3 linked regions of the Xenopus tropicalis genome follow. The protein of the gene in region 3 binds, or shares a complex with, the protein of the main gene of each other region. Links are inferred from orthologs where the notes say so. Each region holds a gene or a part of one and is shown on either strand. Other genes may lie near its edges.

Evidence for each region.
Region 1: the proteins of rab7a (region 3) and rubcn are in contact, whole or in part, in a crystal structure (PDB 6WCW), measured with the Homo sapiens proteins. The link is inferred for Xenopus tropicalis from reciprocal best matches to the Homo sapiens genes RAB7A and RUBCN. Residues at the interface, in NP_004628.4 of Homo sapiens: Ile41, Gly42, Ala43, Asp44, Trp62, Gln71, Ser72, Leu73, Gly74, Val75, Ala76, Phe77, Arg79, Ser101, Asp104, Glu105, Ile108, Gln109, Ser111; in NP_055502.1 of Homo sapiens: His818, Asn821, Met822, Lys824, Thr825, Arg827, Leu883, Gln885, Ala886, Lys887, Gly888, Phe889, Ile890, Glu892, Gln895, Glu897, Ile900, Pro903, Cys915, Lys916, Arg931, Arg934, Arg938.
Region 2: the proteins of rab7a (region 3) and rilp are in contact, whole or in part, in a crystal structure (PDB 1YHN), measured with the Homo sapiens proteins. The link is inferred for Xenopus tropicalis from reciprocal best matches to the Homo sapiens genes RAB7A and RILP. Residues at the interface, in NP_004628.4 of Homo sapiens: Ser3, Lys6, Leu8, Ile41, Gly42, Ala43, Asp44, Phe45, Leu46, Thr47, Thr58, Trp62, Ser72, Leu73, Val75, Leu182, Tyr183, Asn184, Glu185; in NP_113618.2 of Homo sapiens: Phe248, Glu249, Leu252, Gln253, Arg255, Asn256, Lys259, Ala260, Phe263, Leu264, Glu267, Glu268, Tyr271, Arg274, Glu275.

What each region holds. Positions count from the first base shown.
Region 1 is NC_030681.2:101,932,135-101,935,790, forward strand, and holds part of rubcn (run domain Beclin-1-interacting and cysteine-rich domain-containing protein), read left to right. Parts: intron 1-348; coding exon 349-455; intron 456-1,761; coding exon 1,762-1,903; intron 1,904-3,656.
Region 2 is NC_030678.2:45,632,752-45,636,407, reverse strand, and holds part of rilp (rab-interacting lysosomal protein), read right to left. Parts: intron 3,053-3,656; coding exon 2,929-3,052; intron 1-2,928. UniProt on the Homo sapiens protein: Rab effector playing a role in late endocytic transport to degradative compartments. Involved in the regulation of lysosomal morphology and distribution.
Region 3 is NC_030680.2:135,623,907-135,627,562, reverse strand, and holds part of rab7a (ras-related protein Rab-7a), read right to left. Parts: intron 3,002-3,656; coding exon 2,783-3,001; intron 2,087-2,782; coding exon 1,958-2,086; intron 549-1,957; coding exon 453-548; 3' UTR 1-452.

The sequences.
Region 1 (3,656 bases), on a different chromosome or scaffold from region 3:
CCGTGTACCAGAGCCCTTAGGCTAAAGCCCCATGGAGAGATTAGTTGCCTGCGATAAATCTCTGCTGCCACGGGCGATCTATCTGAAATGCCTTTCCACTGGCAGCAAAGTGTGTTTTTCCTAAGTCTGGCAAAGTTTCCTCCTGTAGGCAACTTTGTGTAACTTTGGAAAAAGAAGCAACACATATGCCTTTCCATTGGCGATTTACTTTGTTGCCAGTGGAAAGGCATTTAGGAGAGATAAGTCGCCCGCGGTAGCAGAGATTTATCACAGGTGACTGATCCCTCCGTGGGGCATTAGCTTTATTAGCTATGTTTTTATATTTTCAAATGTATCTGTTTTCTCCAGAATCTGCCTTTTTACTGAGTGAGGCTCATGTTGCTGCAATGTTCCAGTGTCTTGAGGCCGTAGAACAGAATAATCCCAGGCTTTTGGCTCAGATTGACACATCTGTGGTAAGAAGATCAAGAAAACATGTGAACCTTGAACATGAAACATATCGCAGAACAGAAAGTGTTTTTACATGACTGTTGAATTCTTTTTATTTCTTATGTTACTGGGAACTGCTGAGTGCTAGAGGAATAGCTGTTTTCCTGTTTAGCACCTTTTAACTAAGTTTTTCTACTGCACCAGGGCTAGATCTGTCCTATTGTATGATCATTCTCTTTGAATTTTTAAGCCTCTAACTTTTTAAAAATCTTGTGCAAAAGGCATTATAACAGGATTGGTCATCTCTGCTGAGCCTGCTCACATAATAATTATTTAAGAAAAGAAAAAAACATGATTTTTCTATTCAGTTAATAACTAACATTTATTTCAGTTATACAAACTGATACGAGCAATATACATCCTGGTTTGGGAAACTAGATAGTAGTATAACGCCCACTAATCGGGTAAATGTACAGCTGGGTACCTGGACAAATACCATTTTGCATCACTACATAACCCCAGTGTATACAACTGAATTTGTTGTCTTCTTTTCTGTGGTAAGGGTGCAGACCTGTTTTTTGCACTCTGCCTCTTTTAAAGGCTACTTTTCAAAATCGGTTACCAAGTGTATCAATCTAGCTTACAATTTACATTAAAAATAGGTCTTCTCCTATTTCAAGTAAGGGACCAAGCAGAATATACCATAGTGTAATCCAATGTATCTTTGTTATTAATTTGCAGTTCAATCAATCACACTATCAGGTTTAGGGTATCCGAAAGTAAGGTTACCTGCAATTAAAACAGACTTAAAGAATCTGAGAATTTTTAAAGAAACACCCTACCTTTTGGGAAACCACCCTAAGCTACCCCTCAGGCTCAAACGCATACCAACAGTCCAACCATACTTTGCTGTGTCCTTCTGTCTTTCAGGCTGGGCTGGTGGCAATGTGATTCTCCAATAGGATGGAGTTATGTTAACATTAGGATCCTGCCTTGCCTTGCCCTGCCCAGCCCAGAGTGACAGACACAGCCAGCTCTCTTAGCCAAGCATATTCATGGTGTTGTGTGTCAGTAACAGTAAGAATTTCCAGTTTATAAGTCATGTTAAGGGGGAATCATGTCATTTAGAATAGAAATATTTCAAAAATATTTAGTCAGTTTTAACACTTTATTGCTGGCAAACTAGATTAGTATACTATAAATGCAATACCACATATGATTCACAGGATGGCCTTTTTTAACACATTTTGTGATGTCCTATAGTCTTACAGTTCTATATTAAATATAATTGTGCAACTGATCCCCAGTGACATATATTATTCTTCCCCACAGCTTGCTGGCAAGAGACAACTCAACATATCAGAAAAAAGTCTGAGCCTATCAACCCTGCCGGGATCAACCGGTATCCCATACACTGATAACACTCCGCATTCTCTGTACAGCTCCTATAGCAGTCTTCAGTCTTTTAGCTCTGGTAAGATTATGGGATTAGAAGAACTTTAATGTGTTAATAACAGTTATATATGTTAAAGGGGATGATAGATGCTTCTAAACTATGTTAGTAAGTAAAAGACTTTATTTGTCAAAATAAGTAAAATTGTCTTAAAAATGTACCTTGTGTACAAGACAATTGTAAAACCATCAAAAAATGCTTGCTTACCCTTATTGATGCAATGAAGCACCTATTGCTCTGCTGGTTATCTTAGCATGCTGCTGCTGTGTGGTGCACTCCCCTGCCTCCATTTGAGTCAGTGGGGATGAGTGGCTGTTGTTTAAGGTTTAATTGCCCTGCTTTCTGGTGCCAAGAGAGGTAAGTTGTTGCAGCTTGCACGTGGATTTCCTAGGGAGCAGGTACCCAATCTTCTGATGCAGGCGGTGGTTGGCCATTGCATTTCTTGTCCCATTTCTCACCCAGCTTTCTCTTTGTGTGCTGCTTTTCTCTTGTGGCAAGGGGCCTCCTGTCTGTGCAGATACATGGAACCATGGTGTGAGTTTGCAAGAAGGTTGTAAAACATCTTGGATGTGTCAAACATGGATGACATTCCTTTATTACTACATTTTACTGTGCTCATGTTTTGTTGTGTATGTTAGGGAAAATAAATCTATGGCAAGCATTGCTTTAAAAATTAAAGTTTGAGTAGGAGATACTGGGGCCGATTCACTAAAGTGCGATAAAACGTGCGCTATTTATAGCGTGCGTTAAAAATTTTATCGCGTCTTAATTTTCGCAACTTTTCGCACGATTCACTATAAGCATACTTGCGCTATTTTACGCGCGATATTGCATGCGTTATTTAACTCGCAAAGACTATTTCCATGCAGTATTTGCCGGTACATGCGCTAAATAACGCACCGCATATAAATAGTAGCTTAGAAATAGTGTATAAAAATTGTCGCCGCATATAAATAGTGTATATAAATTGTCGCCGCATATAAATGGTAGCATATAAATGGTAGCATATAAATAGTAGATGCTTATAAATAGTAGCCACTAGTGATGAGCAAATGTGTTCTGGTTATCTTTAGTGAAAAATTAGCAAATCTTTTGAAAGATCCACGAAACGGCAAAAATGTTGTGCGGGCAAAAAAATTGTTGCCCGTGACTAATATTTTTTGACGCCTGTGTCAATTTTTGGATGTGCGGTGAATTTTTGCGTGCCAAATTTTTTCATGCATTTTGCCATTGGCAGATTGTTTTGCGAAACGCATGAAAAAATTTGCCGCGGAAAAATTCGCTGCACGTCCAAAAACTCGCTGCGAATCCATGCCTGCCGAAACATTTCATCACTTGTAGCCGCATATAAATAGTCGTGCGAATAAACGCACGCCATGTTAGCCATACACGCCAATACTTGTGGAAAATTACTGTATTAAAAATGACCATTTCGCTGCAAACTGGCAGCTGCATAATCGCGCTAATTATCGCGTCTAATTTAACGAAAAAAAGTGTGCGATAAATTTTATCGCACTTTAGTGAATCAGCCCTACTGTATATTAAACAGGATTGCAAAAAAACAGAAACATTCTCTGATAACAGGTTTTATTTAGAAGTACATTTGGCATGTAATGTAGATTGGAACCTCTTGATGTCTTCATTCATTGTGAAACGATAATTTTCTTTATAAGGAAGCTGTAACATTTTTTTTCTACACAAGACCCCTACGTTCCTGTATATCAGTAAACGTTTGTATTAAAGGGGCAGTATACCCTCTTCTACAGGACCCTCT
Region 2 (3,656 bases), on a different chromosome or scaffold from region 3:
GCAGGTTCTGGGGGCAGTGAAAACACTAAGCTGGGCAACGCGATTATAATAAAATGCAAGAGTCGAATGAGTACAGAAAAACATAGAATACTGGAGGATAAAGGTTTCAGGAGGATAAACATACATGGAGCAAGAGAGTGTGAAAAGGAATTGAAAATTTACAGAGAAACAAATGTCTCCGTGCAGTGAGGGGAGAGTTGCGTGTATAAAGAAGGCAGAGGAAGGCAGAAAACACAAGCTAACAGAGCTGTAGTATGGGGCCAGAAAGAAGAGGCAGTCGATAAAGAGGGGAGAGAAAGGTACGAGAATGGGGAACTGTCAGCGCGCAGTTCCGCTCATTGTGTTTAACAGATTCAGGTCAGACTGAATAGGGCGCGACTCACACCGCAGGAGAACAGGATCGGTTGTCATCAAAAATTCCTCCGTGTCGCTGTCGGACGCCATGAGATAGGGGCAGGCGGTTTGGATCCGGCCTGCTCTTAATACTGTTTGGGCTGAGAGGCCTCACTGGGCGCTGCTCCCCGGGGGCGCTGGCCGGCCCATCATTCAGGCTACAGGCTCCTGCTGACAGGCCAAGGCAAGGGAATAGGGGGGCCAGCGTACGCAGCAAAACACAGGCCAGTCTCGCGAGCGCAACGGATGCCGGACAGGGGGGTTGGGGGATGTGCGAGCGCAACCAATGCCGGACAATTAAGGTGCATCTTCAAATTCTTCTATTCCATATACTCGAGTATAAGCCGAGGGTGGCTTTTTCAGCCCATTTTTGGGACTGAAAAACTCGGCTTATACTCGAGTATATACGGTAAGTGCAAAGTGGGGTGTGCGTAATTATTCAGCCCCCTGAGTCAATACTTTGTAGAACCACCTTTTGCTGCAATTCCAGCTGCCAGTCTTTTAGGGTATGTCTCTACCAGCTTTGCACATCTAGAGACTGAAATCCTTGCCCATTCTTCTTTGCAAAACAGCTCCAGCTCAGTCAGATTAGATGGACAGCGTTTGTGAACAGCAGTTTTCAGATCTTGCCACAGATTCTCCATTGGATTTAGATCTGGACTTTGACTGGGCCATTCTAACACATGGATATGTTTTGTTTTAAACCATTCCATTGTTGCCCTGGCTTTATGTTTAGGGTCGTTGTCCTGCTGGAAGGTGAACCTCCGCCCCAGTCTCAAGTCTTTTGCAGACTCCAAGAGGTTTTCTTCCAAGATTGCCCTGTATTTGGCTCCATCCATCTTCCCATCAACTCTGACCTGCTTCCCTGTCCCTGCTGAAGAGAAGCACCCCCAGAGCATGATGCTGCCCCCCCATATGTGACAGTGGGGATGGTGTGTTCAGAGTGATGTGCAGTGTTAGTTTTCCGCCACACATAGCGTTTTGCATTTTGCCCAAAAAGTTCCATTTTGGTCTCATCTGACCAGAGCACCTTCTTCCACATGTTTGCTGTGTCCCCCACACGGCTTGTGGCAAACTGCAAATGGGACTTCTTATGGTTTTCCGTTAACAATGGCTTTCTTCTTGCCACTCCATAAAGGCCAACTTTGTGCAGTGCACGACTAATAGTTGTCCTATGGACAGATTCCCCCACCTGAGCTGTAGATCTCTGCAGCTCGTTCAGAGTCACCATGGGCCTCTTGGCTGCATTTCTGATCAGCGCTCTCCTTGTTCGGCCTGTGAGTTTAGGGGGACGGCCTTGTCTTGGTAGGTTTACAGTTGTGCCATACTCCATTTCTGAATGATCGCTTGAACAGTGCTCCGTGGGATGTTCAAGGCTTTGGAAATCTTTTTGTAGCCTAAGCCTGCTTTAAATGTCTCAATAACTTTATCCCTGACCTGTCTGGTGTGTTCTTTGGACTTCATGGTGTTGTTGCTCCCAATATTCTCTTAGACAACCTCTGAGGCCGTCACAGAGCAGCTGTATTTGTACTGACATTAGATTACACACAGGTGCACTCTACTTAGTCATTAGCACTCATCAGGCAATGTCAATGGGCAACTGACTGCACTCAGACCAAAGGGGGCTGAATAATTACGCACACCCCATGGAATCATGTATGATTTTCGTTCCACTTCTCACGTGTACACCACTTTGTATTGGTCTTTCACGTGGAATTCCAATAAAATTGATTCATGTTTGTGGCTGTAATGTGACAAAATGTGGAAAAGTTCAAGGGGGCCGAATACTTTTGCAAGCCACTGTACAATAATGGTTAAGTGAAAATGAGTTAGGAGATATAATACATCAAAAGTAGAACCACTATGAACATTAAGTCATTTTGCTTAACAGTATGGATGCACATTTTGTTACGTGAAATTATTTACCCTTTAAAAGTAAAGAATACTTTGTGTACTGTTCCATTTAACAATAGGAAGTAGATACGTAAATAGGAAAAAAATTTTGCTTTTGTTGAATATTCCATCTATCTATAGGTGTAAATATACACAGGTGCAGTAACACACAGCAACCGATGATTCAAAACTTACTAGACTGACAAGGTAATTGCCGATATGCTGCTATGGCTTACAACACTGCTGCAACATGACCTATATTAGTAAATTTAAGCCTGCCACTCAGCAGAAAGGATTACTGATAGAACTTCTCATCTGCCTTACTCTACATAAGCATGTCATGGAAACGATTCCATGCTTCAGGGCAAATAATGCTAAGAATATTAGAGTATTTTATTTATGACAAGGATAATTTAACTAAAGCATTTTAGATAGGTTTCTAAAAATAGCGTCAGTAGCAGAGACATTTTCAACTACAGGGCAGTACAGGCTCATTGCCATTGGACATAAAGTGAAACAGCAAATATTTAGTCTGGAGTGTGAATTAAATGGGTGGTTCATCTTGGTATGTTATAAAACGGCCAATTCTAAGCTACTTTTCAATTGGTCTTCATTATTTATTTTTTATAAAGGTCATTTTACCTTCCTTTGATTTGCGCTCAGCCAACTGACCAAGAAGTTCCTGGTTCTCTTCTGTGAGCTGGGACAGCCGATTCTGTAGAACATGCTCCTTTTTCTGAGCTTCAAGCAGCTGCTCCTGGAGATCCTACACAGGGGGAGTACAGTGAAGATGAACTGTTGTGAACTATATTTATTACACCCACAGGAACAGAATATACTAAGGGCTACAAACTTATTCAAGCTCACAAATGCAGGGGAATTGATGGTAGTATACAGCGTGTCAATATATTATTTCCAGTACCAACGGACATTTCATTTTTTTTATAATTTATAGTTTAATTATCTACATTTCTCCAGTTTGCAGTTTCAGCATCTATCTGGTTGCTAGTGTCCAAACTAGGTTTTGAATGAGAGACTGGTATATGAATAGGAGAGGACCTGAATAGAAAAGTAACCCCCATTTGAAAGTTGGAAAGAGTCAGAAGAAGGCAGCAAATAATTTAAAAACCCCAAAAAATAAATAATGAAGACCAGATGAAAAGTTGCTTAGAATTGACCATTCTAAAAGTTAACCTAAAGGTGAACCACCCATTTAAGAAATGTAATTCCCTTTCTGTATATAATCATTTTAATACCAAATAACCAGTATTATATTCCACAAGTTTAAAAAAAAAAAAAAAAAAGTCCAATAGCATTAAATTCTGTATTTAAAAAAAACATAGATAGACTATGCAACAAAGACTACAGAC
Region 3 (3,656 bases):
CTTCAGTGGGACACAGGACAATTAAAATGGTTTATTTCGGATCATGTAATAGGTTAATTATACACAACGACTGTAAAATGAACCAAACAAAAAGAATGGTCTCCCCACAAGACACAAAAAAATAGAAGTTCAAACAGTATGCTTTTAATGTTAACCACTTTGCACCCACAGGGGCTCGCAAAACTACTGCAGGCCACTTGGTAACACAGGGGTTAAAACACGCGGGCGTATAGTCCCCCCCCCCAAAAAAAAACTGATGAGAAAAACCATGGTGTTCTGCGTATGATACAGGTGTCAGTATCCGTTTGGATCGATGTCTGGGAGCTGGAGAGGGTGCAGATGATTAATATTTATCCTTTACACTGTGGGCGGGGAGGGAAGGGGTCTTGTGTTCGAAGGCCTAAGTGTGATATCGGTTAGTGAAGGACTCCCGCTTCGCCCTCCCTTCGCTTTCAGCAGCTGCAGCTCTCGGCAGAGGCCTTTGCTCTGTCATTTTTGTCCAATTTGATGGGTTCCGGGAATTCATTGTACAGCTCCACCTCTGTCTCCTGGCAGAACAAAACGGGCTCAGTTAGTAACATGTTTTCAATTTCCACATGGGGAATCTACAGTGCTAGCAGCAGTAATGCCATGTCAGCTCTGTAGGCTCCACAGCATTTAAGGGCTAAGTAAAATACAGGGTGTTTTACGCACCATTAAAGTACAGCCAAGTGACTATAATTTAAGCCCATAAGGCATAAGCACAGGGTACCATCCTGCTGCATCTTTCCAGGACCCCCTGCATCACCCTGGGCAAACACATGCACAGTACGTACCAGCTTCTATCATTACTGTACTGTGCACCATGCAAATGCCAGAGGGGTTGCTGTAAGATGCCATAGACACTCACTATTTATTGGGCTGGGGGGGCCTCTGTGTACCAGGGCCTATTTTGAATCTTAATCCATGACTTGATCACTGGGGGATGTCTTATGAACTGGAAAAACCCAGGTAATGTGGGCTTTGGCCTCTTTCAAATCACCACTTACCTTCTCTGTTCCTCTAAGACAAGGATCCCCAACCTTTCTTACTTGTGAGCCACAGTCAAATGTAAAAAGACTTGGGGAGCAACACAAGCACCATAAAAGTTCATGGAGGAGCCAAATAAGGGCTGTGATTGGCTATTAGGGGCCTCTATACTGTGTGAGCTTAAAAAAAAACAAAAAAAAAAACCTAAACCCTAAACATGAATAAGGCTAGGAAGGCCATATTTTATATACTGAACATATTAAACTAGCCTAATCTAGTCTATCTATATAGTAGTAAATATTCAGGCCTTCAAAGTTGTTACAGGAGGTCACCATACTGGAATGTGATTTGTTACAAGCTAAGCTTAGAGGTTGTGGCAAATTATCAAGCAGAAAATGGGGATTATCTTCATAGAAGCTGCTGCTACAGGGCTTTTTTTTCATTTCTAATGCTAATTGCACTGGTTTGAGAAATACCATGCACTTAATCTGCATTATTTACAGATCTTCCCTGCTAAAGGGTTGTGTTGTTGCCTTGGGCTGGTACAGAACCTCAAACATAGGGGCATATATATATATATATATATATATATATATATATATATATATATATATATATATATATATATATATATATATATATATATATATATATATATATATATATATATATATATATATATATATTATAGTGCGTAAGCCAACATCACCAGTGATGGAAAGAGGTAATGTGTAAAATGACGTAGAACAGAAATGAGGGTGTCCCACCATAAACAAACTATAGTTCTCCAGTTTCCCCACTTACAGTTCAGCTGTGGCTGCTGGGACTGCAGGATAAAATGTTGGTTATCCATTTTTTTTTCTAGATTGTTTCATAGCTTTGAAGAGATGCAATATAAAATAGCCCAACAGCCCCACTGACTCACCAGCAGAGGGAGCCACTTCATTACCTGTTTAAGTGCATTCCGTGCAATCGTTTGAAAAGCCTGTTCCACATTTATAGCTTCCTTTGCGCTGGTTTCAAAATATGGGATGTTGTTTTTGCTATGGCACCACACCTGTGCTCGCTTTGTGGTTACCTGTATGGGGCGGAAGACAGAAAGGATACCATTCTGAATCAGTCTCAGGAATGAAAGCCTGGGAAAGCACACACCATAACAATCCATTGTTACCATCAAGCATTTGTAAGTGCCAATATACTCTGCAGCTGTTTAATTAGGAGCTGACAGGAATATGCAACCATTGGCTCTTACCCTGTAGCAAATCCACTACTCATTGCTCCTGCTGGGGAAGCTGGGAAATGTAGTTGTGCAGTTGTGTAACAGTGTTAGATGGGCCTATACATGCAATATATCTATGCACTAATATATAGCAATAAAAGGTTACTGCTTTGGGAGAACAATTAGAACTCTCTATATTTATCAAAATGTATTTATAAAACCTGAGCTATATCAGAATATAATATACAGTTTGTTCATTTCCCTACGGGACCAAACTGTAAACTATATCCTTATAAAAAGGTGCTTATTGATGTCATCAGTTAATCGTAGCTTAGTGATGTAATTTGTCACGTCACTCGCTGAAACTTGTAAGTAAAATATGAGGATATTAGCAGTCACCTCCGAGTTCCATCACATGTATAAAAGTACTCAGCCTTTGGCCTTGTACCTTTTTATGGTCATGGAGCTCCTTGGTGGCTTATAATATCCCTATATTTTACAAAAGGGGGGTACATTATTCACTATATAATGGGTTAGTATCAAGAAGGTACTTACTTGTCTGTTCTCGAGGTCTACCTTATTTCCCAGCACAACAAAGGGAAAGTTCTCAGGGTCCCTTGGGCTCGCCTGAATGAGGAATTCGTCTCGCCAACTGTCCAGAGTCTTGAAAGTGTTGGGAGCAGTGACGTCATAGACCAGCACGCAGCAGTCGGCCCCTCGGTAGAAAGCTACCCCGAGGGATTGGAACCTTTCTTGTCCAGCTGTGTCCCATATCTAAACAGCCAAAGAGAAAAAGAGATAGAAGTATATCTTGGATTATACCAAGTAGATATAATGAAGACAATAAAGAGATTGCACCCAAACTTGTGGCAGGATATAGAGGCCCAGGGGCATAAGCAAATACCCTGAGGAGTTGTTGACATGAAAATGGGGGCTGTACCCCATATGCACCTATTGTACCCTACTGCACAGCTGTACCACAGGATAATGCCAAAGGCAATAAAAGGTTGTTGTGTCCCAGTTTAGGGGATCCCTTTGCACACATTTGTTTGGTTCCTTCACCGGCTTCATTACTAACCTTTTAGAACAGTGCTTCACCCCATGGTGCCTAATATCGCCCAAGATAAACTGCCAAATACACTTGTTATTTTAGTAGCAGAGAAAAAAATGATTAATGTGCTTTTGTCACAATGAACGTGTTGCCATGGATACCAGAAATAAAGCCGTAAGAGTGAGTAATAACTCTAGTCCTGAATCGTGCACTTTGCACCATTCATTGCACTCTCATTTACAGGTTGGGTTTAAAAACTGCCCCTCCCGCTTGAGGGAAATGTGCCAAGACCGCCTCTGTTCCAGTGTAAGGGATAGGAACGCTTACTGCCTACTGTCTGAGCCTTGGTACAGCCCTGGTACCAGGAGGGGCATACCA